3 linked regions of the Arabidopsis thaliana genome follow. The protein of the gene in region 1 interacts with the protein of each later gene in a pairwise test. Each region holds a gene or a part of one and is shown in the gene's direction. Other genes may lie near its edges.

Region 1 (10,978 bases):
ATTGACAGTTTATTAGGTTAACTTATGTTTAATACATGATTGTTAGGAATAAAATTATAGCCTAGTGATGTCCTCAAGGACCACAACTGATGAGTCGTTTTCAAAGTATACCAAATCTGATCTGTCTAAAGGATCGCATGGTTTTGTATAAGTTTTAGTAATATTTCTAATTATTATAAAGAATTTAATCACCACTAGCTAGTCATTGTTTAATGTGCCTCTCCTCAATCATTCTCAATAATTGGAAAATCTACAGGGAATGAAATTTACATATCTAAATCTTTAGAGATCCACCAGAGAAAACTCATGGAGATGACCGAAGCTTCCAAACATACAACAACACATGGTAACTTCACTGTCTTAACTTCTGTAAAAATTGTTTCTATTCTTATTGTCTTCTTAAAAATAAAAAATAAAAACTGAGAATTCCAAATTTTCTTTAACCAACAGAAGAATCAGAACATGTTCAGAATCCTGAACCAGACCAAGTCTTGAGCCAAAGACAACTGTTGCAGCTAAATCAAAAGAAATGGTGGATCTCTGTTCTAATATGTCTTTTCTTAGTCCTGCTTGGAGATTCTCTTGTCATACTTCTCTTGAACTTCTTCTATGTTCAAGACCGTCGAGAAGATAATAACCAAGATCTACAATACAAAGGAACATGGATGCAAGCTCTGATCCAAAACGCTGCTTTTCCAATCCTCATCCCTCTCTTCTTCATTTTCCCTTCACCAAAACCAAACCCTGAAACCATCAATACTCGCTTCCTCTCCATTCGTCTCATCTTGCTTTACTTCTCCCTTGGTGTTCTTGTTGCTGCTCACAGCAAATTGTATGCACTTGGGAAGTTATACTCAAGCTATGGCTTCTTCATGCTGATTTCAGGGTCCCAGTTGATCTTTACCTTGATTTTCACAGCTATCATTAACCGTTTCAAGTTTACTAGATGGATCATCATATCGATAGTTCTCATTCTTGTGAGCTATGCTTTTGGTGGTCCTGTATTTTCAGGAGAGCCTGATGAAAATGAACATTTCTACGGCATCCAAGCTTGGTTAACTTTCGCTGCTTCAGTTGCTTTCGCATTATCTCTCTGTTTAGTCCAACTTAGTTTCGAGAAACTGTTGGTGAAGACAAAGAGATATGGTAACAAGAAAGTGTTTAGAATGGTCTTAGAGATGCAAATATGTGTCTCTTCTGTCGCCTCGGTTGTTTGTCTAGTTGGTTTGTTTGCGAGTGGTGAGTATAAGGAGCTGAAAGGCGATAGCGAGAGGTTTAAGAAAGGAGAAACGTATTACGTTCTGAGTTTGGTCGGGTTGGCTTTGTCGTGGCAGGTTTGGGCGGTCGGGCTGATAGGTTTGGTGCTTTATGTTTCGAGTGTTTTTAGTAATATTGTTCATATGTGTGCTTCACCACTTATGGCTTTTATTGTTGTGTTGGCATTTGATTTTATCGATGATGATTTTAGTTGGCCTAGAATTGGTGCTTTGATAGGATCAGTATTGGCTTTAGGATCTTACTTCTACACTCTGCACAAAAGAAACAAGAAGAAGATGGTGGAATTTAACCAAAGTGAGAACAATGTAGAAGTTTAGTCTCTCATGTCAACTGTATATTTGTGTTTCTCAATCTGTTCTTGTTTCTTTTTCTGATTCTTGTAAGTCAATGTCCAAAATATGTTGTATAGATATGGATCAACTGTGTAATTTATTTGTTGATTGTTTTAGTTTGATTTTTTTTTCTCTGTTTTGCATTTATTTGTAATTTTAAATGTTTTAAGTCTGAAACTATAAAATTTATAACCTCCAAAATATTAATTTTATTTTGATCAAATTGTTTAACTTATATTTTGTTAACAATTAAAACAAAAGTTTCTATAAATTAATAAAATATCATGTTCCAACATTATTAATTTATAGAGGTTTTAATGTACGTTTAAATTAAGTAATTAACCTTGTGTAGCGGTGTATAATATATACAGTAATACCTTTCCGGGTTTTGACTAGTACCAACTCTGATCTGTCAAAAAGATTTCGTACGGTATAGTGGAAAGATCTTTTCTAATTGCAAGATAGAACTAGTCATTCCACAGAGAATGAAATCTGCATATTTAAGGGTGTTCAGACTTCAGAGGTACCAGAGAAAACTAATGGAGATGTCCAAAGCTTCCAAACAGACAACAAGACATGGTAATTATTTCAAATTCTTATCATAAGTTTTATAATATTGTTTCTGTACTCGAAAACAAAATAAAAACTAAATATTTTCTTTAACAACCAGAAGAATCAGAACACGTTCAGAATCCAGAACCAGACCAAATCTTGAGTCCAAGAAGATCGTTGGAGCTAAAACAAAGAAAATGGTGGATCTCTGTTTCTTTATGTCTTTTCTTAGTCTTACTCGGAGATTCTCTCGTCATGCTTCTCTTGAACTTCTTCTATGTCCAAATGAAGCAAGACCGTCGAGAAGAGTATGACCAAGATCTACAATATAAAGGAACATGGACGCAAGCTCTGATCCAAAACGCTGCGTTTCCTATTCTCATCCCTCTCTTTTTCATTTTCCCTAAACCAAAACAACACCTTGAAACCAACAATACTAGTTTCCTCTCCTTGCGTCTCTTCTTCCTTTACTTATCTCTTGGTGTTCTTGTTGCTGCTCACAGCAAATTGTTCGCACTCGGGAAATTAGTCTCAAACTATGGCATCTTCTCATTGATTTCCACAACACAGTTGATATTTACCGCTGTTTTAACAGCCATCATTAACCGTTTCAAGTTTACTAGATGGATCATCATATCGATATTACTCACTATTGTGATTTACGTTCTCGGTACTCCTGACTTTGGAGGACAGCCTCATGACGGCGAAGAATTCGGATACAACATCCAAGCTTGGTTAGCTTTCTCTGCTACAATTGCTTTCTCATTATCTCTTTGCTTAATCCAACTCGGGTTCGAGAAACTCCAAGTGAAGACCAAGAGATATGGTAACGAGAAAGTGTTTAGAATGGTCTTAGAGATGCAAATATGTGTCGCTTTTGTCGCCTCGGTTGTTTGTCTCGTGGGCTTGTTTGCGAGTGACGAGTATAAGGAACTGAAAGGCGATAGCAAGAGGTTTAAGAAAGGGGAAACGTATTACGTTCTGAGTTTGGTCGGGTTGGCTTTGTCGTGGCAGGTTTGGGCGGTCGGGATGATAGGTTTGGTGCATTATGTTTCGGGTCTTTTTGGTGATGTTGTTCATATGTGTGCTTCACCATTTGTGGCTTTGTTTGTTGTCTTGGCATTTGATTTTATGGATGATGTGTTTAGTTGGCCTAGAATTGGTGCTTTGATAGGAACAGTTTTGGCGTTAGGATCTTACTTCTACACTCTGCACAAGAGAAACAAGAAGAAGATGGCGGAACTTAACCAAAGTGAGAACAATGTTGAAGTTTAGTTTCTCATGTCAAGTGTTTGTCAATCTGTTCTTGTTATTCTGATTCTTGTAAGTCAATGTCCAAAATATGTTGTATAGATATGGATCAAACTATGTAATTTATTTATTAGTTGGTTTAGTTTGATTTTTTTCTTTTCTCTGTTTTGCATTTATTTGTTACAATACTTTGCTAGAGGAGTGAATCCCTATATATTTCTCAAGTAGACTTGATTGTTAACATCTATGGGGCATCGAGACACCAATAAAGCCACATCCCACTTGATGATATAAGCTGCACCAAGCTCTTATGCCTTTAGGCTCGTACCTTTCCTATATAGAATGCAACGTAAACGTCTTCCCCAAGCAACTCAAATCCAGAGGCTGATGAGAAGAAGTCTTTTATATGCTTATTTGTTTTGTATATCTTCCATGGGTGATCATTCCTCTGCAAGTGGTTTATTACGTCGATGAAAGCCAGAAATATACCAATAGGCCATGCACATTTCGGTTACAGAAGTGGCACTCTTCATATTACTAGCTGGAGAAGAAAGGTTTTCGATAGAGCTTAACGGAAATGGTAAAGTATGGTATGAGATAGAGATAATGTTATCACATTTCTTGTCACTCCTCCAATATCCTTAATATAAAGAAAGTAGCTCTAGCCTAAACAAGATTCAGAGAAACCTAGGAACAAACATTTGGAAACAACTCTGCTCAGAACCAAACATCATCAAAGTACTACCATCGTCTAGCTTAAACACCTTAACCTCTACTTCCTTTTCATGGACAAAGTATATAGAATTCGGTACGCATCAATAGTACTCATGAGCCATAACCGAGAAACAAGTATCAGTCGCCATCACAACCGCACTATCTCTCAAGGACTTAACTTCAACCCACTTCCCTAATTCCTCATCAACCTTATAAACATTGAAACCAACCATTTTGGGACATTCTATTTCCACCTCTTGGTCCACATTGCATTTTTCATTCCCAAAATCGTCATGTATCACATTAGAAATCCGAGGAGCTACACCAACATAAACATTATCATCCAAGTCCAAGTAATCAGCTTTTCTTTTCAAGACATTCTCTTTAAAAAGACGATCAACAATATAAAGCTCTCCACAACATGCAACCAAGCTTAAGTCTCCACCACATTCATTAGTAAGTGAAGTTCCATACCTAACGATACTAATCCACCAAACAATGCCTTTCGTATCCAACACGTAAATTAGCTCTTTGAGAACAATAATATCAGAGAATTCACCAATCTGATCTTTGATTCTAGTCCAAATCTCTCCATTCCAAAACCTAATCTTCCCATCAAACCCTATTCCAAAAACTCGATCTCCTCCCGCAAGAACAACTTTCTTAAACCCAAAAGCAATGGACCATTTCGGTTTAACAATAGATGTGATTTGGTTTAGCTTATCAATTAATTTTTTTATTTTATTTTAAAATAAATATATATTTTAATTCTTTTATAAATCTCTGATTGGTTGGTTAATTAATTGTTTGTATTTCCCTTTTACGAATTTAAATAAAGTAGATGTTACAAAAGAAAATGAAAATCTCTGAAAAACTCTCCTGATTCAAAAGAGTAAGAAATCTACAAAAGAAAACCACAGAGAAAATCTCTACTGATCAGTTTCTCTCCATTGGTGATCGCTCGTCAGAAAAATTGAGCTCGATTTTGTATAAATTGAAGAAAAAGAAGAAGATCATCAAATGCGTGATTTTTACTTTTCCGTTCAAGGTAAATCGATCATCTTCGGCTTCAAGCCTGAAGATAGCGCTTCGAATTGGTTGAATTGTGTAATTTTGGAGGAAGTTAAGGTTCTTGCAGTAACAACTGCTTTACTGATTTTTCTGGTTTTTTTTGTAATTGTAGAAACTGAGTTTAAGGACAAGCTTTGTCCCTTTTAGTGGAATTTAGATCTGGTTTTGTCGTAATTTCTTCTGGGTTTCAATTCTAGTCTTCTGTAGTAGTATCAGTGTTGTGTTATCACCCACTATTTCAAAGTTTCAATGAAATTTTAATACCAAGTTGTTGACTTTTCTGTGTTTCTATCTGATCATAATTAACTTCGGAAGAAATTATTGTGACCTCAGAAAATTAGGTAGCTGATTTGATTCTTTTGTTTTCTCAATTATTCTCTTGTTAATTTCATTGTTCACATAGAAATGGTTCATATTTTCTGCTAATATGTTTCCTCTTTCATTTCAATTCACCATATTTCTTCTTTGTAGTGATTGATCAAGGGAACATAAGCAGCTAGAGACCACACCACTCAGTTATTTCTATCTCATAGTGCTTGTGGATGTTCAAGCTATAAGAATGTGCTCGGTGGTTCTATGAATATATAGGTATTATGCGTTATGTTTGGTTTGTAGAATATATTCTGAGAAGGTGATAGGATGGTCGATTTGCTAACTTTATGTCACTTCTGAAAGTGAGTTTGCATGTTTCTCTTTTCTCTTAAATCTGCTTTAAGTGTTAAGATATTTTGTTTTGAATATATTTGGAAAAACCAGTGACTTTGGTATTCTGTTAGCATGTTCCAACGATCTAAATTCTGTGGGTATATACTCTGGTAATTGCTTATACTGTTTTTGCTTTATGAAAACGATTTTAATATTCTACTAGGAAGATTGGTGTTTTGATGGGATGGGACACCAAATTGCTAAGGTTTATGGTGTTATCAATTACTAGTACGTGTTATCTTCCGAACAACCACCACCATGGAATCTCATCTGGGAAATGGAGTAGGCAGTTCGAGATCTGCCAAAAATACAAAGAACACTTCTAGTTCAGTTGATTGGTTGAGCAGAGATATGCTTGAGATGAAGATAAGGGACAAGACAGAGGCTGATGAGGAGAGAGTAAGTTTTGCATCTCCTTTCTTAGGTCTTTATTTCTTTGTGAACTTCTTTAGCTTATCTTCCTTCTCATGCGCCCCTCTATTTGATGAAGTAGTTTACTTGAATTTGATGTTTTTGCCATGTTGCAGGACAGTGAACCAGATATCATTGATGGAGTTGGTGCAGAACCTGGCCATGTGATCACAACTACACTCCCTGGACGAAATGGTCAATCAAGACAGGTTAGATGGTCATAGAAACTGTGTGTCTAGATTGTTAGTGAGACGTACTGATTCTTATACAACTGTTTTTAATTTTGATTGACAGACAGTCAGTTACATAGCAGAACACGTAGTCGGGACTGGTTCATTCGGAATGGTTTTCCAAGTGAGTAAGATTGTCTATCTTGTTGTTTTACCATTGGTTAAGATTCCCAAACATTTTATGTCTCCTTGTGGTAGGCTAAATGCAGAGAAACTGGGGAGGTTGTTGCCATCAAAAAAGTTCTACAAGACAAGCGTTACAAGAACAGAGAATTACAAATTATGCAGATGCTAGACCATCCGAATGTTGTTTGTTTAAAGCATAGCTTCTATTCAAGAACAGAAAATGAAGAGGTTTATCTAAATCTTGTCCTTGAGTTTGTTCCCGAGACTGTCAATCGTACTGCCAGAAGCTACAGTAGAATGAACCAGCTGATGCCATTGATATATGTCAAACTCTACACTTACCAGGTGATTATTTCCTGTTTCTGATCTTTTTTTGTTTCTCTTTATGTAAGCGTCATAAGTAATCACTCAAAATTTAAGCTATATTCAGTTTCTTGATATGTGTCAGCTGGTTTCTTGTGGTTCATTCCATAATGGATGTTGGAGATTTCCTCTTGTTTTGCTAGATAGATTGTAAACCAGAAGGCAAAGTTCCTATCATTTCTGATACTATTGTACTTTTCCGTTAGAAGTTGGAACTATTGAACATAATTGATTGTCTCTATATAAAAGAAGTAGTGCTCAAACGTTTGTTGAACACTTAAGTGTGAATCGGGCCTGATAATTTGTTGGACATTCTCCAATGATTTTTGAGGATTTTATGTTAATGGCTACAGATTTGCAGGGGGCTTGCTTACCTTCATAATTGCTGTGGTCTTTGTCACCGTGATATAAAGCCCCAAAACCTGCTAGTAAGTTCCAATTTTTTCTCACTGAAAAGAAGTTGATGATAGATTTCACTTTCCTGTAAGCTACTTTTGTTTGAATTTTTTTTATATAGCAAGGTCTTTGTCACCACACATAAGGATTTTAAAGGCATTTGTGTACATAAATATCAGACAGTGTTCTTTAATTCTACAAATTTGATCATTATATAGTAATGACATGATGATATTTCGTTATTACATGCCTGGTGGGATTAAGCAATGAGGTTATGTATGCATCTCGCTAATGTTTATTTCAACCTCAGAGTGGTACTGGGCTTCTGTTCTGTAGTTAATTTCACTTGCTATTTGTTCAAGTAGGATGTTAAAATCTAACTTTTCGGAAAATAGTTTTGGTTTTTAGCTGGTCTGTTCGTTGGTTTAAATATTTAGAATCCTATTTTCTTGTGATTTCACAAGGATTGAACTTGTTCCATACTGTTTCAGCTGTTAGGCTCACCATACCTGCAATTGACTAGAATTTGTCATAAACAAATGTTGCCTTGTTTTTATTAAACAATCTTTTATTTTTTTCTTTACACCTATTGTGATGTGCAGGTGAATCCACACACACATCAGCTGAAAATTTGTGATTTTGGGAGTGCAAAAGTGTTGGTAAAGTTTATCAGCTATAGCTCTTAGTGGTTTAGTTTTCCTAGTCCATGCTTAGATTATGACGTGTCATGGTCCACAGGTGAAAGGAGAACCCAATATTTCTTACATTTGTTCAAGATACTATCGTGCCCCAGAGCTCATTTTTGGAGCCACCGAGTACACAACTGCAATAGACATATGGTCCACAGGTTGTGTGATGGCTGAACTGCTGCTTGGACAGGTTGGAGCACTATATTTGCATTAGCTATATGCTTGTTATTCTATTTCTTCACCCTCTTACTCATTTTTGCTCTCGCGGACTTGTTTTACAGCCTCTGTTTCCTGGCGAAAGTGGAGTCGATCAACTTGTTGAAATCATAAAGGTAGTATTTTTGCTATCAATTCTTTTAGGGTTAGTTGTATTTACAAAGAAAATGACATCTTTAGAGCTGGCACTGACTAATAGTTTCTCACTGCTGATTATATTTTTTTTATAAAACTTTACCACCATTTTTGTAGTAGGACTCGTACATTCTCTCTTCATGGTTTTTTAATTGTCATGCAGGTTTTGGGTACACCAACAAGGGAGGAGATCAAATGCATGAATCCAAACTACACAGAATTTAAATTTCCTCAGATAAAACCTCATCCTTGGCACAAGGTATACCGCTAGTAGTATCAATTATCACCTAATAGGGTTCTCTTAATCGATATATGACCAAGCTTGTCTCGGTTTAGTGAGGTTGATTGAAGTATATGTGATCAATTAACTTCATATTTCATTCCTCTGGCATATAGAGCGATGTGACAGCTTTGCCTTTGTATATAAGATTCTTATACAAACAAATAAATTGAACCTTTGCCAAAAGGAATTACTCATGCACACACTCGTGGGGGTTGAAAACAGTTAGGCTTCATGATCTTGGCTTTTTTGCTGGTTTAAGTTTCTATCTAGATGAAGTTTTATTCAGCATTTTATACAGCTGACATTCCAGAACTCTGTTACTCGTTATTCTTATCTTTTGTTTTGCTCCGTGCTAAAATTTCTCTTAAGTGATCATTTCCTTGGTTTTACTTCTATATAGTCATGTTCTTACAGCACAAGAATCATGTGTTTGTTACTTTCAGGTATTCCAGAAACGTCTGCCACCTGAAGCAGTAGATCTTCTTTGTAGGTTCTTCCAGTATTCTCCTAATTTGAGATGTACAGCGGTAAATTATTCATAGCTTTTCTCTGACTTTGTTACATATTCTACTTCCATATTTTTTTTGGGATCAGCATCAGAAGCTAACCCATTATAAGTATGTCTTATGATTTTCTGATAGGTGGAAGCTTGTATCCACCCTTTCTTTGATGAGCTAAGAGACCCAAATGCTCGTCTGCCAAACGGCCGGCCACTTCCTCCGCTATTCAATTTTAAACCACAAGGTAAGGTTCTGTTATTTGCTTCTTCTTTTTTCCGTGTTAAATTCTTTATAAGGGAAGAAAATTAGTATGTGTTATTGATAAGCGTGTGTCCTACAGAACTCTCTGGTATCCCTCCTGAAACTGTGGACCGACTTGTCCCAGAACATGCCCGTAAGCAGAACCACTTCATGGCATTACACTCGTAAGTCTCTTCCGTGTTTTCTGTACGACCTATCGGGTGTTCTCTTCTTTTCTCTAAGCTCTCTAGATCCCAGTCTTTGGGAAAAACCAGTAGAGCTCTCTCTCTGTAAACAGAAATCACTGGAAAAAGAAGCAATGACTTTTGTATTAAGGTGCTTGCGCATCCCTTGTCGTGAAGTGAGGATGCGTAAAATACAACACTACTTTGTTAGATATATGATATAGAGGAACATACTTACATTTGCAAGACTCCTGCCACAACACAATTTTCCAAAAAATTTGTGAACCTTAAAATGAATTGACAGTTTAGTTTATTTGTCCATGTTTACGAACTTGATTTGAACCATATTACTCGAATTACACCAAACCAATTTATCTTCGAGTTAATTTCAAATAAGGCATTTGTTTTACAAAATAAGGCTTAAATATTGAAGGCCCAATAAGACCATGTACACAAAAAGCCTTTTAAACTAGTTTCACCTCTCTCTCCCATTTTTAGGGTTTCGTCAGAGACAGAAGTGAGAGAGGAGGAAAAATGCCGGCGGGACACGGAGTGAGGGCGAGAACAAGAGATCTGTTCGCGAGACCATTCAGGAAGAAGGGTTATATTCCACTCTCCACTTACCTCAGAACCTTCAAGGTCGGCGATTACGTCGATGTCAAGGTTAATGGAGCTATCCACAAGGGTATGCCTCATAAGTTCTACCATGGTCGTACTGGTCGCATCTGGAATGTCACTAAACGTGCCGTTGGTGTTGAAGTCAACAAACAGGTTTGATTACTCAAAACTTTTAATCTGTTTGAAAGAGTTTTTTGTTGTTGAAATTAGGGTTTGAAATTGATTTTGATTCTTTCATTTGGGGTTTAATTCGTCTTTCTGTGAGCTATCTGTTTTGAATTCTGAGATGTTGGATTAGTGTTGGCTCGAAAGTTTCAAGCTTTTCTTATTGGGTCGTTCGTTTACTATTATTATATGTTTTGATGTTGTGAAAGCTTCTCTTTTCATTTCTTGTGTTTATGATTAGTGTAATCTGTTGGAGAGCTAAGTTGGTGTGTTGGGTTGGGTTTTAGATTGGGAACAGAATCATAAGGAAGAGGATACATGTGCGTGTGGAGCATGTGCAACAGTCAAGGTGTGCTGAGGAGTTTAAACTCAGAAAGAAACAGAACGATGTGCTTAAGGCTGATGCTAAAGCCAGAGGTGAGACTATCAGCACCAAGAGACAGCCTAAAGGTCCTAAACCGGGTTTCATGGTTGAAGGTATGACATTGGAGACTGTCACTCCCATTCCTTACGATGTT
Region 2 (10,978 bases), on another chromosome or scaffold:
TCATACCCAATAAGTTTAATATTATTTTAAAATTCATTGTCTAATTAATGTTTGATTTGATTAATCGACGACCACGAGTTCCACGGGTTGTTTTTAAAATTGATATATCATATATTGAAAAAGCTATCTAGAAGAAGTACCCATAGAAGAAGACTCTCAAACTGACCGACACAAATCGATACTATTGAGTGTTGAGCAAATACTAGATCCCCAATTTTGATACTTTTACGCCTACTTCTTTTGCATGCGTGGATAGGAAACATTAATTTACATATATTGGTTTTTCAGAAAAATATAGTAAATTTTTTATTAAAACTAAAGAAAAGTGTTTGAATATTTTATTTAACCGCCATATTATGTAGATAACAATGATACATTGATACCATATCGAGTTGGTGGATGTAACTTTGTTTTGCCTATGCAAATAATTTTGATACCAAGGTAGCCTAAACTGTCAATAAATCATATAACTTCTACAACATGTTAGCATGATTGTCAATGTTGTTATTATGATGCTAATTATGTTAGCATATAGATTAATACATGATCACAATGTTATCTCTCTGCACACTGCGATCGATTTTTAATATGGATTTATCCAGTACAAATTCGACAATAGTTGTTATTTCGCAAATAGATGAATTATTGAAGAAACATGAGATTATGTTGCATTAAACATATATGATTTTTTGTGCAAAAGCTTTGTTTCTATTCAATCACTCAAAACTATTACAAGACTTAGGAGAATACACATTCTCAGTGTTTGAAACGACAAAGTTAAAAGCAGTAAACGAAAAAGTACGATAATCCAACGATAGATCCATAATTACTTTCATACAAGAGTTGTAGAACACAATGTCACATGCCAGAAAATGGTAAGTCGGAGACAGTACCACGAAAGATCTGAGAAGTGGTAGATTGGTCATAGTCCATTAACATAATGACGTTGAAAATGACTTTGTAGCCTCGAGTCTCGCAGACACAAGACACTCTTCACAATACGATAGCAAGGCAATTAGGAAAATCAAGCGATTTCTCGGCTTAAAAACCGGAAACCAAATACGGACACTCGTTATAAAAGTTCTCTCCATAAAGGAGGAAAGTGAGATAAATGTTCTCTCTATAAAAAAGGAGACTGAGATATATGTTCTCTTCATAAAGGAGGTGGAACCAAAGTTTTCTTTGGGAAGTTTGCACACCGTGGACCCTCAAAATCATGCAAGATTACACGGTGACAATATTGAAATTGTCGACCCTCGCACGGTCTTCTGAAATAAGCATGTGACATATGGCTTGCTTCAGAGTGTAAACGGTGAAGATGATATATAGTAGAAACAACAGAGGCCGGAAAATGCGGGTCGACGAAATTTATTTTTATATTACACTTATTTTATGATTTTATATTTTAATGATAAATATCATATTATATCAAATCATGATTACATGATACTTTGGACTTATATGAATACATAAGTATATAAGAAAGAATGTGACAGCATAGATTATTGATTGTATATTTGTATAGTATAGTAAGATCGTTAAATGTTTCCTCTCTGAAGTCGTGCGTTTACAAGGAATTTAATGGAAGATCCACTTTTATTGGGAGATGATCAGTTAATCACTAGAAACCTCAAGTCAACGCCGACATGGTGGATGAATTTTACGGCGGAGCTGAAGAACGTCAGCTCTATGGCGGCGCCTATGGCCACCGTGACAGTGTCTCAATATCTATTGCCCGTGATCTCGGTCATGGTCGCCGGCCACTGCGGTGAACTCCAGCTGTCTGGTGTCACTCTTGCCACTGCTTTCGCAAACGTCTCCGGCTTCGGCATCATGGTAATTAGTTTATCCTCTGTTTAAACCACGTTCAAGATCCAAGCGAAACTTAACAAGTCTTGGAAATTTTTGCAGTATGGTTTAGTGGGTGCACTTGAAACTCTATGTGGCCAAGCTTATGGAGCAAAACAATACACTAAAATCGGAACTTACACTTTCTCTGCAATAGTCTCAAACGTACCTATAGTTGTTCTCATATCGATTCTCTGGTTTTACATGGACAAACTCTTTGTTTCACTTGGACAAGATCCTGACATCTCCAAGGTAGCTGGTTCTTACGCGGTTTGTCTTATACCGGCATTGTTAGCTCAAGCAGTGCAACAACCTTTGACTCGGTTTCTCCAGACTCAGGGTTTGGTTCTTCCTCTTCTCTACTGTGCCATAACCACCCTTTTATTCCATATACCAGTTTGTTTGATTCTGGTTTACGCGTTTGGTCTTGGAAGCAATGGAGCCGCCTTGGCTATTGGTTTGTCTTACTGGTTTAATGTCTTGATTCTTGCTTTATATGTGAGATTTTCAAGCGCTTGCGAGAAGACTCGCGGCTTTGTATCCGATGATTTCGTGTTGAGTGTCAAGCAGTTTTTTCAGTATGGGATACCATCAGCAGCAATGACAACGTAAAAACATTCATCTTCTTCATCGTTGGTGCATTCTTTTCTTTCTTGGCTTGATTTGTTTTTTGTTTCTATATGCAGCATAGAATGGTCGTTGTTTGAGCTCCTTATCTTATCTTCAGGACTCCTCCCAAACCCGAAACTCGAGACCTCTGTTCTTTCCATTTGGTAATCTATCTTTCTCTCTGGATCTTTGTCTCCCTTTTTACATATATGTCTAGTATATATCAGGAGGGATTGTCTTAAATATATAGGTCTAGACGTCTAGTGAGTAAATATTGGTTAATTAAATTAGATATAGTTTATCGAATTCATATAGACAGAATTGTTACGCTTTACTGATGCAATATTTTTGGTTGTTGTTGTTTTTTTAATAATAGTCTTACAACATCATCTCTCCACTGTGTCATTCCAATGGGTATCGGGGCTGCTGGAAGGTATGATTCCGATAAAACCGACTAAATATTTGTTTGGGAATTTTCAGACTAGTCACAATGTTTACTTTGGCAGCACACGGATTTCAAACGAATTGGGAGCGGGAAATCCGGAGGTTGCTAGGCTGGCAGTGTTTGCCGGTATTTTCCTTTGGTTCCTAGAGGCTACCATTTGTAGCACACTTCTGTTCACTTGCAAAAATATTTTTGGCTACGCGTTCAGCAATAGCAAAGAAGTTGTGGACTATGTCACGGAGCTATCTTCGCTGCTTTGTCTTTCATTTATGGTCGATGGATTTTCTTCAGTGCTTGATGGTATTAAGATCAAACCCTTCAATTAGTGAATGATAAAAAATCCTATCTCGCGACTCAAATATGACTTTTATGAAAAAGGGGTTGCTAGGGGAAGTGGGTGGCAAAATATTGGAGCTTGGGCAAATGTGGTGGCTTACTATCTCCTAGGAGCTCCTGTTGGATTTTTCTTAGGATTTTGGGGTCATATGAACGGCAAAGGGCTATGGATTGGTGTGATCGTTGGGTCCACTGCTCAAGGGATCATACTAGCTATAGTCACTGCTTGCCTGAGTTGGGAGGAGCAGGTCAATAGCAATCTTAAATATATTTTTGGACATTTGATGAATCTTTTTTTTACCCCATACTGAAGTTGTTTACAATTGGAAATTGCAGGCTGCCAAGGCCAGAGAAAGAATAGTTGGAAGAACATTGGAGTGAAAATCACACACTTTTAAACGTAACTGATATAGTTGTACTCCTTCCGTTTAGTATACACGAAATATAGAAGAATACATGGTCACACATGCCAAATATACACGAATAAATGTAAGTTTAAGGTTTTCACACACGTATTAAAAAACAAATAAATTTATTAGCTTAAACTTTGTCAATATATTTTCTATAAAGTTATTGATCAATACATTAAATCCGTGGGATAAAGCTGTAATGTATCAAACAATTGCATTGAAAATATAAAACAATATATATTTTAAAATAAATTTTTTTTTTAAAAATGACACTTAATCTTGTATGCGTTTTATCTTTCTAATGATTAAATATCTATGTATAAGTTTAACATCAAGTAAAAATTTGAGTGACTAATTTATGTTTGATTGGATTTTCCACAGTTTATCTTATAAACTGAACTCTCATATGGCTAAGATATTTTACTTTCTTTCATTTAACAGTTACGGGGCGATTGAATGTTCTTTTAACAAGGTCTGATTTGAACGGACATTAGTTTTGTTTATACAACAATGTGTTTCTCTATATACAGAATATAACTTATATATAGTAAATTGTTTATGTTGATCCCAGTAAAAAAAGATAAAAAGAGAAGAGATGGTGCTACTGAGGAACCAAGAAAGAACTGGAAGTCAACAATCAACTCATACTCATGTGTCTCTCCTTTTTAATGAGAGTGACTAACCAACGATTTAAAATAAATAAAAAGAGTGGTTCAAATGTAAATAATTCAAACTACTAAGACTTGGTGGAATTCATGTGAAGGAGACAAAAGTTCAATCTCATGGAGAAACAGAATTCCATTGAAGAAGAAAAAATGTGAATAACCCTAACTTTTAGAATGCTGACCTAATTAATGCACTTAATCAGCTTCGTAAACAGTTTCTACTTGTGAATTCTTGCCAACTTTTCGAGAACACCAGGATATATAGTTGAGAATAATGCTAGCAAATCGTCTAAAAGTTTCTAGAGTACATATCTAGATTCGTCTTAATAATGCTAAATATTTATCTTCAACAACATTGTTTTCATTTTTCAATACAATAAAGTTGAATTAAAATCATTTTTTTAATCTACTAAGACTGTAATTTAACAATATTTTTAAACATATTGTACTGGTTTAGAGGCGATTTATCTTGTTGGAAAAGAAGTTTGGAAGATTCTGTCTTGAGTTCCATTTCATTAAAACAAAGTCATCACATTTCTGGTATGTGAGACGAAGCTATGGTCCATGATTAACCCTCTATGATAGATTATGATAGATGTAGGGGAGTGATTTAGCACCACTCAGTTAACTCGACTCTAACCTCAATAAACAAAACCTTCGAAATGTTTTGTCGGGCTCGGCACATTTAGCGTGAAAATGAGTTTTTTTTGTGTGAAAATAGATAGATCGAGATTGACTTAACATAAAATGGAAAGATTGACTCGAAAATACTTTCAATATCATCAATATTGAGGAGGAGAAAAGAAAAAAATACCGAAGATAAAAATTTTGGAAGGAAAACATATTCGAAGACCTAGATGGAGAAGTATAAATACAAATGAGCAGTCGCAAAGTGGGGCATCCACAATTCGTCTCTAAAGATCCCTAGACATCCAAATTCACAAGAAAAAAAAAACTAACTTGTTATCAAAGTTAGTTCAATCTCTTTGTAATTGTATCAGTTCGTTCTTGAGCTTAATAAATAAAATTATTTCCGCGACACTACTTCCCTTAATTAAGCTTGCCGGTTTATATGTGCAGATTTGACTCACACAATAGACATTAGACAATATAGTATGTTTTTGAAATATATTTTTTGAGGTTATTTCATGATAAGTAATACTGCAAAATATAAATTTTTCAAACATAAATTTATACATTGAACCTCATATCTATTTGTTTCTATTATTTAATTTATTTTAATGACAATGTGTTCTATACTATATTTAAATTTTAGTAAATAATTTTCTTAAATTATATAATTTTTCAATACTTTCTTAATAAACTTCTAGATGTGAAATAGTTTTATAAAAAAAAAAATACATATTCTGGTTATATTTTTTCATATAGAAAAGAAATGGTGTGATTCATATTTTTTCAAGTTTTCTAAGAAATCAAATAATGAGTAAGTCAACAAATAAAATCTCATATAGTGGCTAAGAACTTGAAGTCATTTAGTGAGAAGGAAACCAATAAAAAAATTTACCTATAAATTAAAGGGCAATTAAATGTAAGAACAGTTTAAATAATTAAAAATTATTAACTAAAGTAATGAATCTATTAATTAATTGAAAATAAATATATGTGAAAGAATATTTGTACAAAAAAGCAAATAAAATATCTAGTAGATATATTTCTGAAATAAGTATTTAGAAATTTAATTTTTTGTTTTACTTGATTTTTCAAAATTTTATACCAAAATACAATTTATTTTAATCTTATAATTTTATTTCTAATCAAGGTGTTCCAATTTCATTTCGCTAAATGTTATAGAACCGATCCCAATACGAACGCGAACCTCACTTATCAGCTCTCAATCTCTCAACTCGAAGTTTGTTTGTGTGAATCAAAGAAGAAACAGAGAACAACACACAAGAATTTGTTACCCAGTTCAATCTAATCTGTGTGATTAGATCTACGTCTGGAGCCAGATAGATCCGGCAATCCACTATATGAGATGTTTACAAACTTCTCTGAGCTCAATACAAGATCAATGAAGAACCCTAATTTTCTGGGTTTAAGAGAGATCGTAACAACTTTCTAACGGAATGAAGAAGAAGAAGATAACAGACTTCTATTTATATGTGTTTGACTTCGAGCATCGAAGCCTCTTTCAGAATGAGAGTCTTCCAATCATAACTTCCTTCTTCTGTAAACCAAAGCGAACCGTTTCAATAACCAACTCCAATCTGCTGTTAAACCGAATGTCATCAGACCAACATTAAACCGGAATTGGATCATATTCATAACATTATATCAAACAAGGAAAAAAAAACTATTCACTATTGTCGGCAATAATTAACTTTTTGAAAAATCGAAACAACAAGGCCACCACGTCTACAAAAATCAGAAACCAATTCATGCACATGATATATGTGTTTAATAAATATAATTTATATGGACCCTCTTAATAATATAATTTATATGGAGCATTTATTATTATGGGTACATCATATCATATCTGTTTTTACCTTAATAAATAGAATAACATTTTTTTCTGTGACACACATTGAAGAGAGAAAACTATTTGTCCCACAGTCAATTACGGGTCTAAAATTTGGTAGTAACAATAATACTTTCATATGCATATCTTAACATGAGAAAAAAATGTTTTCACTGGTCGAGCAGAGTTATATATATATTTAGATATTGACGAAAAGTCTTCATTGACAATAAATTACATTGGTTTCGTCCATCAGTACAAGATTGGATATGATCTAAAAAATCAGAGGCAAATCAATCAAGATTAAGAAGACGACAATGGAAGAGCCATTTCTTCCGAGAGACGAGCAGTTAGTCTCTTGTAAATCCACATGGCAAAGTGGTCAGGTCACCGTCGAGCTGAAGAAAGTGAGCCGCTTGGCCGCTCCTATGGCCACCGTAACCATAGCTCAGTACTTATTGCCTGTCATCTCAGTCATGGTCGCCGGCCACATCGGCGAGTTGGAGCTCGCCGGTGTCGCGCTTGCCACGTCTTTCACAAACGTTTCCGGCTTCAGCATAATGGTAATTATGCTATTACTCTCTCCTCTTCATTTCAAGAACTCAATTAACTTTCCAATATTGAAATATTGCTGCATTCTTTTTTGTGTAGTTTGGGTTAGTTGGTGCATTGGAAACTCTTTGTGGCCAAGCCTATGGAGCAGAACAATACGAAAAAATCGGAACCTATACATACTCTGCAATGGCTTCCAACATACCAATTTGTTTCATCATATCAATTCTATGGATTTACATCGAAAAGCTCTTGATCACTCTCGGGCAAGAGCCTGACATCTCTAGAGTCGCTGGCTCCTACTCATTGTGGCTCGTACCGGCTTTGTTTGCCCATGCTATTTTCTTACCACTGACTCGGTTTCTGCTAGCACAAGGGTTGGTTATTTCCCTGCTATACTCTGCCATGACCACCCTTTTGTTCCATATTGCGGTTTGCTGGACTTTGGTTTTCGCGCTTGGTCTTGGAAGCAATGGAGCTGCTATTGCTATTAGTTTGTCTTTCTGGTTTTACGCTGTGATACTCTCATGTCATGTGAGATTTTTCAGCTCTTGCGAGAAGACTCGCGGATTTGTATCAAATGATTTTATGTCTAGTATCAAGCAGTACTTCCAGTACGGAGTCCCATCCGCTGGATTGATTTGGTAAGTAAACCATTTTCACGTGTCTTGTTGGTTAAGTTACAATACACCGATGCTTCCTCTTATCTTGCTTGCATTTTTTTGTCTTCTTTGATAGCTTAGAATGGTGGCTGTTTGAGCTACTCATACTCTGCTCAGGTCTTCTCCCAAACCCAAAACTCGAGACATCTGTTCTTTCGATTTGGTAAGTATCATATTACTTCTTTTTATCCTATGTGTTCTCTTTACCAAAATGTATTAATCTTATGTCTTTCATGTTATCAGTCTTACAATAGGAACTTTACACTATGTGATTCCATCTGGAGTCGCGGCGGCTGTGAGGTATGATCTCAACTCTCAAACCAGAACAAGTGTTCAACAATTCCTTTCTCAACATTAGTCATTTGGTTTCTTGAAGCACACGAGTGTCAAACAAATTGGGAGCTGGAAATCCTCAAGTTGCTAGGGTTTCCGTATTGGCAGGGCTTTGTCTCTGGCTTGTAGAGTCAGCTTTCTTTAGCACACTTCTCTTCACCTGCCGAAACATCATAGGCTACACATTCAGCAACAGCAAAGAAGTTGTTGACTATGTTGCTGACATATCTCCTTTGCTCTGTCTCTCCTTCATCCTCGACGGATTAACGGCAGTTCTAAATGGAGTGGCTAGGGGATGTGGGTGGCAACACATTGGAGCTTTGATCAACGTGGTGGCTTATTATCTTGTAGGAGCTCCTGTTGGAGTTTACTTAGCTTTCAGTCGTGAGTGGAATGGAAAAGGACTCTGGTGCGGTGTTATGGTTGGATCCGCGGTGCAAGCCACTTTACTGGCTATCGTCACAGCCTCCATGAACTGGAAGGAACAGGTTAGAGTTTGTTACATTCTAGTTTTTTGAATGCTCTGAAGTAACTGGACTCTATTATTTGCAGGCTGAGAAAGCAAGGAAGAGAATAATCTCTACTGAAAATGGATTGGTTTAAATAAAGGTTGTTCCTAAGAGCTATCTCAAAGTATTTGCAAGTCATGTGCAAAAAAACATGTAATGTTATTTTGATGGGTTATAATATTTTTTTGTAAAACTTTTATCCAGGATTTATACATTTTTTCTTGAGTTGATATTTTCGTTAGTTAGAAAAATTATTCGAATTGCACATGCTGAAAGATGATTTATTTATTTTCTTCAAACTTTAATATACAAATGTAACAAGTAAATAAAAACTCATTAGTTCCAAACACCATGGGATTAAAAATGGCCTCAGCTGCAATCAGTCCTATCTTTATAAAAAACAACTATGTGAGTCCTATCCATTATCCCAATAAGTCCACTAAAAATGGCCTGTATGGCACAACCAGATTTAACACTTAGTATTAACTTTAAAATTCACAAAAGAAAATAATCTCTCTTATATATGGTCCAAACATAATAACTTTACACTAATGATCCATAAGAGTTTTCACATACATGTTTCTTGACGTAAATCATTAAAAATATATAGATGAAAAATACTTATAGAAGATTCAAATTCCACATAGTCCACTAATGTTATGTCATTTAATTAGTAGGTTTAGTGGTGAAAACTTAATACGAATTCCTACCTTTTTATCAGCCTCAGCTGCACGTTTGAACTGTCTAGTTGTTATTTAAACCAAAAAAATGTTTTTGTTAATTAAGACATTTTTCCTTTTTAATATAAACTGTTAAAACAAACTGTCTCTTTTTTTTTTGTAACAATGTCATTATCTTTTGTTTAATCTATGATATGATTAGAACTTGATTCCCAAGTAATTATTCGAGTTGCCTTTGTTGTTTAGTCATAGATCATTGGAACGTGATCCCCAAGTGTATTATCATGTATTTCCAAAATGCTGATATTGGACGACTGTTGAGTGTTGACGACGACGTCCACCATTTGTATTTCAAAATGACCGAATTGTCTCTTTTGTTTGTCTTTGTTATTAGGTTATTGTGATATCTGACTTTTATGGAAGTAATAAAAAGTTTAATATACATGACTTTTATAACAGTTTTATAAAACTGTTATAACTTGTGAAGTTGTTAGAAGATTTTGTCATTTGCAAAAAACATGATGTATGTTCCTTTAACAATAAAAAACATGATGTATGTTCACCTTAAAAAAAACTATTGTTTTCCGGAAACTTATTAAGAGAAACTATACAACGTCATTGCTGAAAACTTTGATGTATAAACTTTAGTAATACTTTATACTTTATCATGTAGACTTTTATAATATACTTTTTGAGGATCTTCGTGGAAAATATAGAATTCCACTGGTCGAGCTAAGAGTCATGTAATTTGAATATTCTATTCCCACAATTTCCAAAAAAGAAAAGTCTACGTTGACATTGACATTGGTTTCGTCGTCTGTCTAGTGTCTATAAAAGATGGAAGAATGTCCGCATAAATTATAGACAATTAAAGTACTAGACAAGGCTTTCAACACAAAACAATAACAAACAAAAAATAAGGACAAAAAAAAAATTAACAACCTAAAACAATGGAAGAGCCATTTCTTCCGCAAGATGAGCAGATAGTCCCCTGTAAAGCCACATGGAAAAGTGGTCAGCTCAATGTCGAGCTGAAGAAAGTGAGCCGCTTGGCTGTTCCTATGGCCACCGTGACCATTGCACAGTACTTATTGCCAGTCATCTCAGTCATGGTCGCTGGCCACAACGGCGAGCTCCAGCTCTCCGGTGTCGCTCTTGCTACCTCCTTCACAAATGTCTCCGGTTTCAGCATTATGGTAATTATGTTATGACTACTCTCTCCTCTTATGTTCAAAATCAAGTTGACTCTGAAATCTTGATAAATACTTCAATTCTTTGTGCAGTTTGGGTTAGTGGGTTCACTAGAAACTCTTTCTGGCCAAGCTTATGGAGCCAAACAATACGAAAAAATGGGAACCTATACATACTCCGCAATTTCCTCTAACATCCCTATATGTGTCCTCATATCAATTCTCTGGATATACATGGAAAAACTCTTGATCTCTCT
Region 3 (10,978 bases), 220 kb from region 1:
AAGTGAGATGACGAGGATTGAAACGTATAGTAAGAAAGTAAATATCTTACAACGATTTAGAAATGTTCGAAGTTATGTTAGTGAATACTGAATAGAACAAGGTTTAATTTCATTTTCAGGAATTTTTGAGAATTAGCCAATTACGGTGTAAATTCATAGAAACAGATGGAAATCACATAGGATACAATAGACAGAGAGAAAGCAAGAAATAATATATAACAAAAATATCGATATCCAACTGAAGAAACGATAAAAGAAAAGAGATAGTAGAAGATTTTGGATGAGACTAAATCTTCATAAAAGTCTGTCCATATGTAAATTTTTTAAAGATAACCTTTTTGCTAGTCTTTTGTGTTCCTCTCAATTATGTATGTATTGTATTACCATTTTTGACACATAATCGGTTTCACGTCTTTGATTTTTTTTCCCAAAAACATGCATGATTTTGTATAATAGTTAAGAGTCGACATATGATGACAAGGCTTGTGAATACATACATGATACATCTCTCAAGAAAATAAAACATGAATTTCTCACTGCACCAACTTACTCACTTGCATACACTAATGACGTGTTATAGAAGCCTGGTCGGTGAACCTACTTACACATGGTTCATGATATAAAATCTGAGCAGAGAGCAAGTTGACCCCATATCCCCAAATATGTTATCACTATGCTACTCCTACTTCATTTTTCTCTACCAATACTTTCAGAACGTAAGATTTAATAGCCGCCCAACATGTAACTTGGGGCTACGCGTACAACTAACTAAGTAAATAATGCATGGCTCATTTTTCATAAAAAAAAAATTATTTTCGTAAAATGCTCCACAAATCTTATATCTAGAACCTTAGTAATGATGAGAGATATTAGAATCTAGTCGAATCCAAATAATGGACCCCAAATGACAATATAATTAACCACTACCATTAAGAATTTCTCTATGTATAGAAAACAATTAACCTAGTACTTAGTTTATTCTTCTTTTTCGTTTTCTAATAAAAATGTTGTCTTTTTGTTAACTATTGAAGATGTTGTTGTCATTAACGTGCTATTGTAGATCTCGTCGTCTGTTCCTAATCCAACTATTATAGATATGTTTTGTCAAAATCTATATAATGATATCTAGAACTTATAAACATATGAAAACTAAGTGACCCACATGCATGACATTTATTTAGAATTATATCAATGCACAAAGGACATTTGAACAATAGACTACGGGTCCAAATAGTCAAGCAACACCCAAGATTTTGTTTCTTAATATTGTTTTTGTCATCGTAAGATTCTACAAGTTACCTCCTGAAAGTTTGTGGAAGATAAAAAAATTCTTTTTGTGACTAGCCATCATTTAAATGACAATATAAAATCTCGAACTTCTTATGTCTTATAGGTTGAACATTTCAAATGCTAGACAGAAAATTAGTTGCGTCATTTAAATTAGTTCTAACCTACTTAGGTTTAATAGACATAAAAAAACATAGCATCTTCATATCAAACAACTATGTCACTTCCAATCTTTCTGGTGTATGTCACTTCCAATAATATGGAACGAGTTCCTCAGAACCGAAGCCAACTTGGATAAGGATTTTGCCTCACACGAAGATAATAACACAATTTTCTCGTTGCATTGTCTTTTACAGTCACCTTGCTATCTTCAAGATAACTCTTATCTTCGATTGCGAAAGAGAAAAAATATCAAATCAATGGGACCAGAAAGATAAACAAAATGAGAGAAGCATGTCCTCTGGTTGTTATGGGTTATGCTTGACACTTGAATATTTGTGCAGACAAGAAGAGAGTTGATTTTGTTCACATGGATTTTGTTGCTCACTACTTAACAAAAAATGGCAGTGTTTTTGCCTTGAAACACGAGACAGCCACCACTTCTCCAAGCATTTTACTATAACGCCCTTTGTCTCTTTCCCTAATTGGAACTACTTAGTCACACTGAAAGAAGGATCTTTCATATTTCCAAAAAGATCTACCATTTTAAAATGAGTCTTTTAAAAAATGATGCATCTATCTTTGCATAAACCTAAGAAGAAGTCCAACATTAGGTGAGTTTGAATCAAAGTAATTCTAAGTTATGCAATTTACTAGAAGTAATCAGCAGCATATGAATTAAGTACTAATAAAAAATAGTTTAATTAAAAATATATATATAACAAAACTATATGTTGATTGACACGGATCATTTTAAAAACATTTGTGAACTGTCTTATAGAGTAAATGTCCATTTCAAAAGAGTTGGATATGCACATTAATTATATAATGTTTGAATGTTGATCATGCTCTTATGACATGTTTTTAAGTCTCCACATAAGAACCATGCAATTTTCCATGAATTAATAACTAAACGTCGTTAGTCCGACTAGAAAAATACCATGGATAATCCAAACATGCATAGTTCAATAAGTGTGTAGACGTGAAGATGTTGTCAAGATCTTTTCCAGACATTCCTAGTCAGTACCATATTCAATGTGGATATACATTAGCGCAACATGCAAAAACGGAAAAAATTCCGACCATGTCACAAACTTCTCATTTAATACCAACAACCAAACCGGTGTGGCATGGAGGGTCAATCCAACGACATATCTAAGGACATGAGTCCTAGATCTAGGGAAAATATTCCTATCAAACATACTTATCCAAGACTAACAGAGGGACTAAATATTATTCAAGAAGTCAATTTACAAATCAATGCAGATCATAAGTCTCGTTTCTCCAAAAGTACACTTGTTGGTTTCCCTTCTTCTCTTCTTCAAAATCTTCTGATCATCTCATTCTTAGTTCATAATGTCCAATATAGGTCACCGAGTAATTTTCATTCTCGTCTGGCAGCCAATGAAACCTGAAAATTTTCTTTACTTGTCCCTCAAAGCACCAAGAGATACTTCACCGTGTGTGTTTTTTCACTTACGTTGTACTGAAAATCATAGTTCATCCATCCTATAATACTACAGTTTAGACACAATTAACAAAGGAACAGGTTATGAAAAAAAAAATTGCGATCAAAAAAAATACCAATTGTTTAGACATCCACATGCAAACGTCAATTTTAAAAAAGTCTTACAATCACTTCACTCATAAAACGTATTGCATATTGCAAAAAAATGTTACTATTACCCTCAAACGATGTGAGCATACAATGCTTGACGCTCATCTAAGTTTGGTTATGATATCACTTGGAAAGATCCGACTACAATTATTTGTGGACCTTTCTGTTCACTCCTAGCCCGTAGGCTTCATCCACGTCTGACCACCGATGTCAAACTTTTGAAACCTCTAAGAAACTTGTTATTGGTCATATATTTCACCACAAACGTAAAAATACGTGTTTTTACATCTCATGATATTAATAATCATTTATAATAGGTCATTTTCTTTAGATATCTCTAACTTAGACACACTTAATGTGTAGGTTTTTCAAAATGAGTCACGAAAAAGTTAATTACACTTTGGTGATACATGAAAAATCAAATTAATAATTTTGATCATCTCAACACGCACAACTATTTTTCAAATTCAAGTTAGTACAAATACTATACGATCCTCATTTACTAGACAAAGGTTATATTCTTAAAACCAAATTAACTCCGGAAAAACTTTGCCCCCTCCAAAACCAAATTATAGCTTCAGATCATGTATTATGTATATGAATCACAAAATGTGCAGGTCAACTAGTTGTTCTCCGTTGCCTTAATTTCTCTTCTTCTCCACATGTCGTTCCCTCACCATCAGACTCCCAACACATGTTACCATATAGATATTAAGCCATAAATAACTCGTCATACAATTGTACAAAGTATTTATAGTTACGTTGTACAAGAAAAGTATTTAGAATTGGTTAATTTGCGATAAGACCTTTAGTCTACTTGATATATTTTTGCATACACGTGAGAAATTTGGTCAATAGAAATGCTGATCTACCGATAACGGTTTTGATCCTTTTCACGCCAAATTTTATAGAAAATGATCATATGCCAAAAACATATACAACAAATGAAATTGCATGTTGTGGTAAAATATTGATACAACGTTTTAATTAATTGTAATCATTTGATAGAAAACAAGCTATTTTAACATTAATAAGTTATATATAATAAATAAGTTACTATTAATATTTTACATTTACTTTTATAAAGATTTATTTATTTTAAATAGTTTTTAGGTTTCATGGTATGGTGGCAATGAACATGCTTTCAAGCCATTTTCTGCATAATAGTGTTTAACATTACATTACATTACATATATTCATTAAACCTAAATGTTAAAATTATATATGCTAAAGTTGCAATAGACATGCAATTTGAAATTGGAAGAAAATGCTAAATTAAATCTCATGCCATTTTACAGCATAATTTGATATTTTAGACATAGGAAAAACTTAAATTTTATCTTGATTGACTAGGAAAACTTAAATTAACCGTTAGTGCAAAAAAAGAAAGGATTATCTTCACAGAAAGTATATAGACTAATCTAGTGCAGTTTCCTGTTTGACATCATTACACCTAACCTTAAAATTTTCGGAGTTATAAAATAGGACCGACCTCTGTTTCTAAATGTTTCAGCGGAATTAAAGAAAAACAAAATGGCATAAAATTTGTAATTGTGTCACAAATCACAAATGATATAAAATTTCATTTTTTATCAAAAAAAAAGAAAAAAAAAGAAAAAAGAAGGAAAAAAAAAAAGAGAGAGGCAAAATTGGCATATTAATAGGACCGACCTTAGTTGGTTTTGTTTGTTTTTAATATTTGCTATGGAGTATGTGTTTTAGCAAAAACAAATCATAAATGTATATACATTGTTAAGTGTATAAAAATTGTAAATCCGTAAAATTTGAGTCAAATAGCATACAATATCTATAAATGCCATAAAAATGTAAAATTCATTTAATTATAAATCTAAATCCTAACTACTATTATATAAATCCAAACCGATATATAATCTCGTTTAATTAGAAAATTTAAAACCTTTATTATCTTTTATAAACCTAAATCAATATTTAAACTTGTTTAATTGTAAAATTTAAATCTGTTTATAAACTCAAACCGATATTCAATCTCATCAATCATAAAATTGAAATCTTAACTTTTTCTTATAACTGATATATAATTTTTTTATGGCAAATTATATTTTCTAATTAAATTAATTTAATATTATTTATTAGGTGGTAGATTTTGATTGGCTAGAATAAAAAAGTTCACCCAAGTATTTTTCAAAACAAGTACTAACCCCATCAACTTATGTGACCAACCGTTATTGAATAAATGCTTTTTATCCTCTCAGCCTAAGAGGTAACAACAGCCTGATATTCTAGCACTTAGGACGACTGTGAATTCGCCAGCCGACATAACCGAAAGAGTTCAATATATAGTGAAGCCCAAAGTTGAGTTAAAGATTAGGAAAGAGATTTGCTATTATTAAAGGTAATGCGATGTATTTTAAAATAGTTAACTAAACCAATTTTTATGTCTTTCTTCAAAAGTGAACTCTTGAGCTATCCTAAACCTGTGTGTCGTTCTTCTCACAGACTTATTTGGTGGACACACGATTTGTTTAGTCAAAGCAAACAAAAAAAGTCCCACTTCCCTATTAGAAAATCAATTCTTTGTTAAAAAGAAATTAAAACTAATTTTCGCCACGTGTAGAAACGATATCGCTTCTTTACAACTATAAATAGTCAGCCTTTCTCCTCCAAAAGGCCCAACCAATTCCATATTAAAAATATTAGTTCCTCTCGGTTCCTTTTATCATTTGCATAAAATCGTTTTGCCTCCAAAAGACTAAAAGCTCTAGACTTTGTCTCTTTGTCCTTTTATCTCTACTCCCAACAAAACCAGTTTACTCCTCTTAAGAATCATGTGTAATTCAAAACCATCTTCTGCTTCATCTTCCTTATTATCTTGTAAAGACAAAACCCATATCTCAAAACTCGAAACCTGTGATACAGATAATCCTCATTATTCTGAATTCAGGGATACTGATTCTCTAGACCTTAAAAGATGGCCAAGTTTTCTGGAGGTAAATTATTTCTTTTTTTTTCCTATACGTAAATGTTTGTTTTTTTCTACATAGATATGAACATAATAATTCAAGAATCTAGTTCTTGACAAAACTAGATTGTACGAACTATACCAAAAGCATATATACATATACATATATATAAATAGAAACAACAGTTTCGCAATCCTTTTTATATATATACCTAAATCTTTGGTCCCGGTTGGTGATTTGGTTTTGTCATTTTTTTATAAAGGTTTAAGATAAGCTTTATTTGATTAATATAATTAACCATTAACCAGGGAAAAGAAAAAAACGATCTACTGACGTGGACGGTTCTTGGTCTTGACTTTTCTTTTCTTAATTATCTGGCGGCAGGGCTTAGAGGAAGTGAAGGCGATCGGAAAAATCTCTGGGCCGACGGCGATGACCGGGCTTCTTATGTACTCAAGAGCGATGATATCGATGCTGTTCTTAGGCTACCTCGGTGAGCTTGAGTTAGCCGGAGGATCTCTCTCCATAGGCTTTGCCAATATCACCGGCTACTCCGTCATCTCCGGTTTGTCCATGGGGATGGAACCAATCTGTGGCCAAGCATACGGAGCTAAACAAATGAAGCTTTTAGGACTAACCCTTCAAAGAACCGTCCTCCTACTCCTCTCCTGCTCGGTCCCTATCTCCTTCTCGTGGCTCAACATGCGCCGAATCCTCTTATGGTGCGGCCAAGATGAAGAGATCTCCTCTGTTGCTCAACAGTTCCTTCTATTCGCCATCCCTGACCTCTTCCTTCTCTCTCTGCTTCACCCTCTTCGAATTTACCTCCGAACACAAAACATTACATTGCCCGTGACTTACTCCACGGCCGTGTCCGTTCTCCTCCACGTTCCTTTGAACTACCTCCTAGTGGTGAAACTTGAGATGGGAGTAGCGGGAGTCGCTATAGCTATGGTTTTGACAAATCTCAACCTTGTAGTCCTCTTATCCTCTTTTGTGTATTTCACTAGCGTGCATAGTGATACATGGGTCCCAATTACTATTGACTCTCTTAAAGGTTGGTCGGCTTTGCTCTCACTTGCCATACCCACTTGTGTATCTGTTTGTTTGGAGTGGTGGTGGTACGAGTTTATGATCATTTTGTGTGGACTTTTGGCTAACCCAAGAGCCACCGTGGCTTCCATGGGAATCTTGATCCAAACGACGGCTTTGGTCTACGTCTTCCCATCCTCTCTCAGCCTTGGTGTCTCTACAAGAATTAGCAACGAGCTTGGGGCTAAACGTCCGGCGAAAGCTCGGGTATCCATGATCATCTCACTCTTCTGCGCGATCGCCTTAGGCCTAATGGCGATGGTGTTTGCTGTGCTGGTTAGGCACCATTGGGGACGCTTGTTTACCACGGATGCAGAGATTCTTCAGCTGACTTCCATCGCATTACCCATTGTGGGGTTATGTGAGCTCGGAAACTGTCCTCAAACAACCGGTTGTGGGGTTTTAAGAGGCTGTGCAAGACCTACACTTGGTGCCAACATAAACTTGGGTTCATTTTACTTTGTGGGCATGCCAGTCGCTATTCTGTTTGGGTTTGTTTTCAAACAAGGGTTTCCAGGTCTCTGGTTCGGGTTGCTTGCAGCTCAAGCAACTTGTGCTTCTCTCATGTTGTGTGCACTTTTGAGAACAGATTGGAAAGTCCAAGCCGAGAGAGCTGAAGAGCTGACGTCACAAACTCCCGGAAAGTCTCCGCCCCTTCTCCCCATCGCAAGCTCAAAGAGCCGGTCTACCTCCGGTACAGAAGATATGATGAGAACCATGTTGGTTTAGATTGATAGCTATTCTCTGGAGGCATTTGCCATCAACATTGACGTACATATATGTTCTTGTCATCATTTTTTGGAGTTTATAGTGCTCCTTAATTTCTACTTTTTGATTTAAGAACGACTTTGTTTTGTGGGCTTTAGTGGTGTTTGTGTTATTTATGGTTGTATTGGTGTGATAGTTCTAATTAGCTTTGACTTCAGCAGTTTGTATTTTATGTGTTCCCTTTTGTAATAACTCGTGGTTTGATTATCTTTATATATTTGTCCATTTTCTAGGAGAATGTGAATTTTTTTTGTTAAACTAAGAATAAATTTATTTTATTTTATTTTTGTCACAAAAACTAAGTATAAATCAAAATGAAAAATTTAACCTCAATACAACTTTAATATATATATATATATATATATATATAAAAAGATTCCAAGATACTAGACGTGTCTAGGCCATTGAAATCTAGAGAAAGACCATACTAGTAGATCAAACCTAATGGCCGAAGACAATCAGAATAACTAAGGATACAGTAAAAATGTTCCATAATAGGTTAATTTTTTTGCAATTTATTTTGTATTCGTATTTGTGTTGTGAAAGCTTTGCTTATTTAACAATCAATTCTTTTCTTAAGGACAGGCAAGATGAATGTTTTATTTTTGAGCTTTTGGTGGTTCCATGTTCCATAAAAGGAAATTATATTCGTAGCCAAAAATGGAAAACAATTTCCTTTAATTCTATCATATTCTTTGTCTCAAAGCCATTGAGATTCGATACGTTTTAAAATTTAATTGAGATCACATTTATTTTGATTTTGGTTGTTTCCTTTGAGCAGAGAGAAAGCATCTTTTCTTTTATGTATACTTTTTTTTGTCCTGGGACCAGAACATGAATTTATACGAACTTCACAGCGATGTGGCCAAAGAATAAAACCAAATATGACAAGAAAATGAAATAAAACTGAGTGGAATCGATAATGCGTCTACGTGTCGACGATATGAATTACCTTTCAACCTTTGATATTCCTTTTCTATAGATATTTTTAAGAAATAAAATAAGTAAAGCCTAGTAAACTGAATTCCATTGGCTTGCTGAAATATCTTTGATTTTCATTGGCCATCGATAAAAAGTTCGAATTTCATTGGCCTTTGAATTATGACGAAAGAAAAGACAATTCTATATTATAAGTTTTGGACATCTACCTTTTGTTATTATTTACACGTGAATAGTTTTTTTTTTTTTTTTTTTTTTGTCTTTTATTGGTAAACACTATGAGGTCAATCATACTCATTCTAAATTTACTGGTGAAGCTATTTCGAAATTTTAAAGATATCAAACGTAGATGATTAACCACGGTAAAAAAAAAGTATATTTTGTAGATAGAAGTTGTTTTTCAGTACTGTACACAGTTAATTATATCTATATATGGAAAACTATAGTAAAATGAGAAAATAATAATACTAACAGTAAACAGGATTATTACGTATTTTGCCATTTTTAGTGGTATTTATGAATTTTGCTATTTTGGCTAAAATATTATGGATTTCTAAATGATATATTTGTTAGGAAAATAAATTGTTTCAAAAAGATAAGAGTTTTTAAATTTTCTATGTAATATTTTTTAGTTATTATTGATGACTCTATAAATTTTAAGAAAATTAATTGAATACTATCAGTAGAATTATAGAAAATTGTAAATCACAAAAAAAAACAGATACTTTTATAATCAACTTTTCATATGTGTGAGTGACAACTCAAGAAAATACATTATTTCAAAACAAAGGGAGTGTGTTTTAAAGGTCATTTGATATAATTATGCATTACATTTTCTTTCTACGTACTTTTTAACACTACTCTTATGTTCGCAACAATTTAAATACTTGTCATTTCCCTAAATAACTCTTTGTTTTCTCTCATTTTGCAAAGTAACCCTGCAAACTATCCTAGGAGGTGAGCATTTATTATATCTAATATATGACATATTTTTATACATCATAGAATTAGATCCGAAAGGTGATATATGTTCATGTATACTTAGAATAAGTATGGCAAGTATGCAATAATAAAGTGGAGTAGGTACATCAATCACATGTTCTTACTGTTTTTGTCTGGATCAAACGTTCAATTGTAGCCACATGAAGCATCACAAACATATAAATATAGTTCATAATACGTAGAGAGTAGAGAGAGTCGTAGACAAGTTTGTGTTCTAAGAAAAATCGAATTAATAGATGTCAAGTCTATAAATGTCGCGTGTGGTAAAGCTCGAGTTTGGAGGAGAAAGAGAATAGGCAGGGTCCCTCACCCGGCCGAGACATGAGCGTTTGATTTCCCTTTATTGTAAAATAATAGCTTTACAATCCAATTTATCACCTACTTACTTTTTCAACATCATCTTCTCATGATTCCAACCATGAGATAAATCTCATTTTCTGCTCCTCAAAGCAGCAACTAATCATATCATGATTGAGTACAAAGAGGTTAAATGCAAGATTGTTGCAATTGTTGATTCTGACGCCACTTGGAACGTGCATTCCTCTTTTACGTTAAAACAATAGTGTTTGTAAATTGTGACAACTTATATACCATCTACTTTTCCTCAAATTCATTAGGTCACCAATGGACCAAGCATGTCGAGATCGAAACTCTATTCATCCGTGAAAAATTAGCTATCGTCAAATTCAAGTTTTACATGTGTTTTCCACCTATATGGCTATATATCAATAACTCGCTAGAGTTTATTTTGCAAAAAAAAAAAAATCTTTATGGTTATTTTACAAATAATGTTCAACCATATGGTTGTTAATTCATATATTGTATTTATCATAATTAAAAATCTATAATGCCAAATGCCGACGAAGATTAAAAACATATGATATTCATAAAACTTTATTGACATGTACGATTGTTATATAGTATAATCTTTTGATATAGTTTCTTAATTATTGACATGTATGATAAACTACTACCTAAGAAAACTTTATTCTCTTTCTTAAACATTTACTTCGTTGAAATTAAGAAAAGGAACTCGTGATGCATGAGCTTTCTCTCTCAACCGACCTTAATTCGCCTTAAGCATGCCCCAAAATAGGATATGATTAAATATTTGAAAAACATAACTCATTGGCTCTGCCGTCCGGATGAATCCTTACCAATGGTTATACCT

What was found.
Region 2: the proteins of SK42 (region 1) and AT2G04080 interact in a protein complementation assay, tested with the Arabidopsis thaliana proteins (one large-scale study listed by BioGRID).
Region 3: the proteins of SK42 (region 1) and ZF14 interact in a protein complementation assay, tested with the Arabidopsis thaliana proteins (one large-scale study listed by BioGRID).

Annotation. Positions count from the first base shown.
Region 1 is NC_003070.9:21,430,061-21,441,038, reverse strand, and holds SK42 (shaggy-like kinase 42), read left to right. Parts: upstream 1-4,935; 5' UTR 4,936-5,162; coding exon of another isoform or gene 5,163-5,202; exon of another isoform or gene 5,203-5,526; coding exon of another isoform or gene 5,527-5,612; exon of another isoform or gene 5,613-5,669; 5' UTR 5,670-5,786; intron 5,787-6,066; exon of another isoform or gene 6,067-6,070; 5' UTR 6,071-6,161; coding exon 6,162-6,302; intron 6,303-6,430; coding exon 6,431-6,523; intron 6,524-6,608; coding exon 6,609-6,668; intron 6,669-6,742; coding exon 6,743-7,015; intron 7,016-7,386; coding exon 7,387-7,461; intron 7,462-8,031; coding exon 8,032-8,088; intron 8,089-8,167; coding exon 8,168-8,308; intron 8,309-8,399; coding exon 8,400-8,450; intron 8,451-8,632; coding exon 8,633-8,728; intron 8,729-9,195; coding exon 9,196-9,279; intron 9,280-9,393; coding exon 9,394-9,496; intron 9,497-9,592; coding exon 9,593-9,677; coding exon of another isoform or gene 9,678-9,681; exon of another isoform or gene 9,682-9,828; coding exon 9,829-9,901; 3' UTR 9,902-9,988; downstream 9,989-10,978. Other genes in the region: AT1G57980 (Nucleotide-sugar transporter family protein), read left to right, coding at 307-346, 451-1,595; PUP17 (purine permease 17), read left to right, coding at 2,150-2,189, 2,281-3,437; AT1G57906 (F-box protein), read right to left, coding at 4,229-4,789, 5,163-5,202, 5,527-5,612; AT1G57860 (Translation protein SH3-like family protein), read left to right, coding at 10,212-10,448, 10,748-10,978. UniProt on the Arabidopsis thaliana protein: May mediate extracellular signals to regulate transcription in differentiating cells.
Region 2 is NC_003071.7:1,355,294-1,366,271, reverse strand, and holds AT2G04080 (MATE efflux family protein), read left to right. Parts: upstream 1-6,868; 5' UTR 6,869-7,112; coding exon 7,113-7,358; intron 7,359-7,446; coding exon 7,447-7,991; intron 7,992-8,085; coding exon 8,086-8,172; intron 8,173-8,252; coding exon 8,253-8,309; intron 8,310-8,385; coding exon 8,386-8,830; coding exon of another isoform or gene 8,831-8,860; exon of another isoform or gene 8,861-8,894; coding exon 8,895-8,945; 3' UTR 8,946-9,116; downstream 9,117-10,978. Other genes in the region: AT2G04090 (MATE efflux family protein), read left to right, coding at 1,582-1,836, 1,912-2,456, 2,535-2,621, 2,834-2,890, 2,964-3,202, 3,281-3,486, 3,575-3,619; AT2G04070 (MATE efflux family protein), read left to right, coding at 10,482-10,727, 10,815-10,978.
Region 3 is NC_003070.9:21,647,291-21,658,268, forward strand, and holds ZF14 (MATE efflux family protein), read left to right. Parts: upstream 1-5,697; 5' UTR 5,698-5,871; coding exon 5,872-6,033; intron 6,034-6,390; coding exon 6,391-7,827; 3' UTR 7,828-8,149; downstream 8,150-10,978.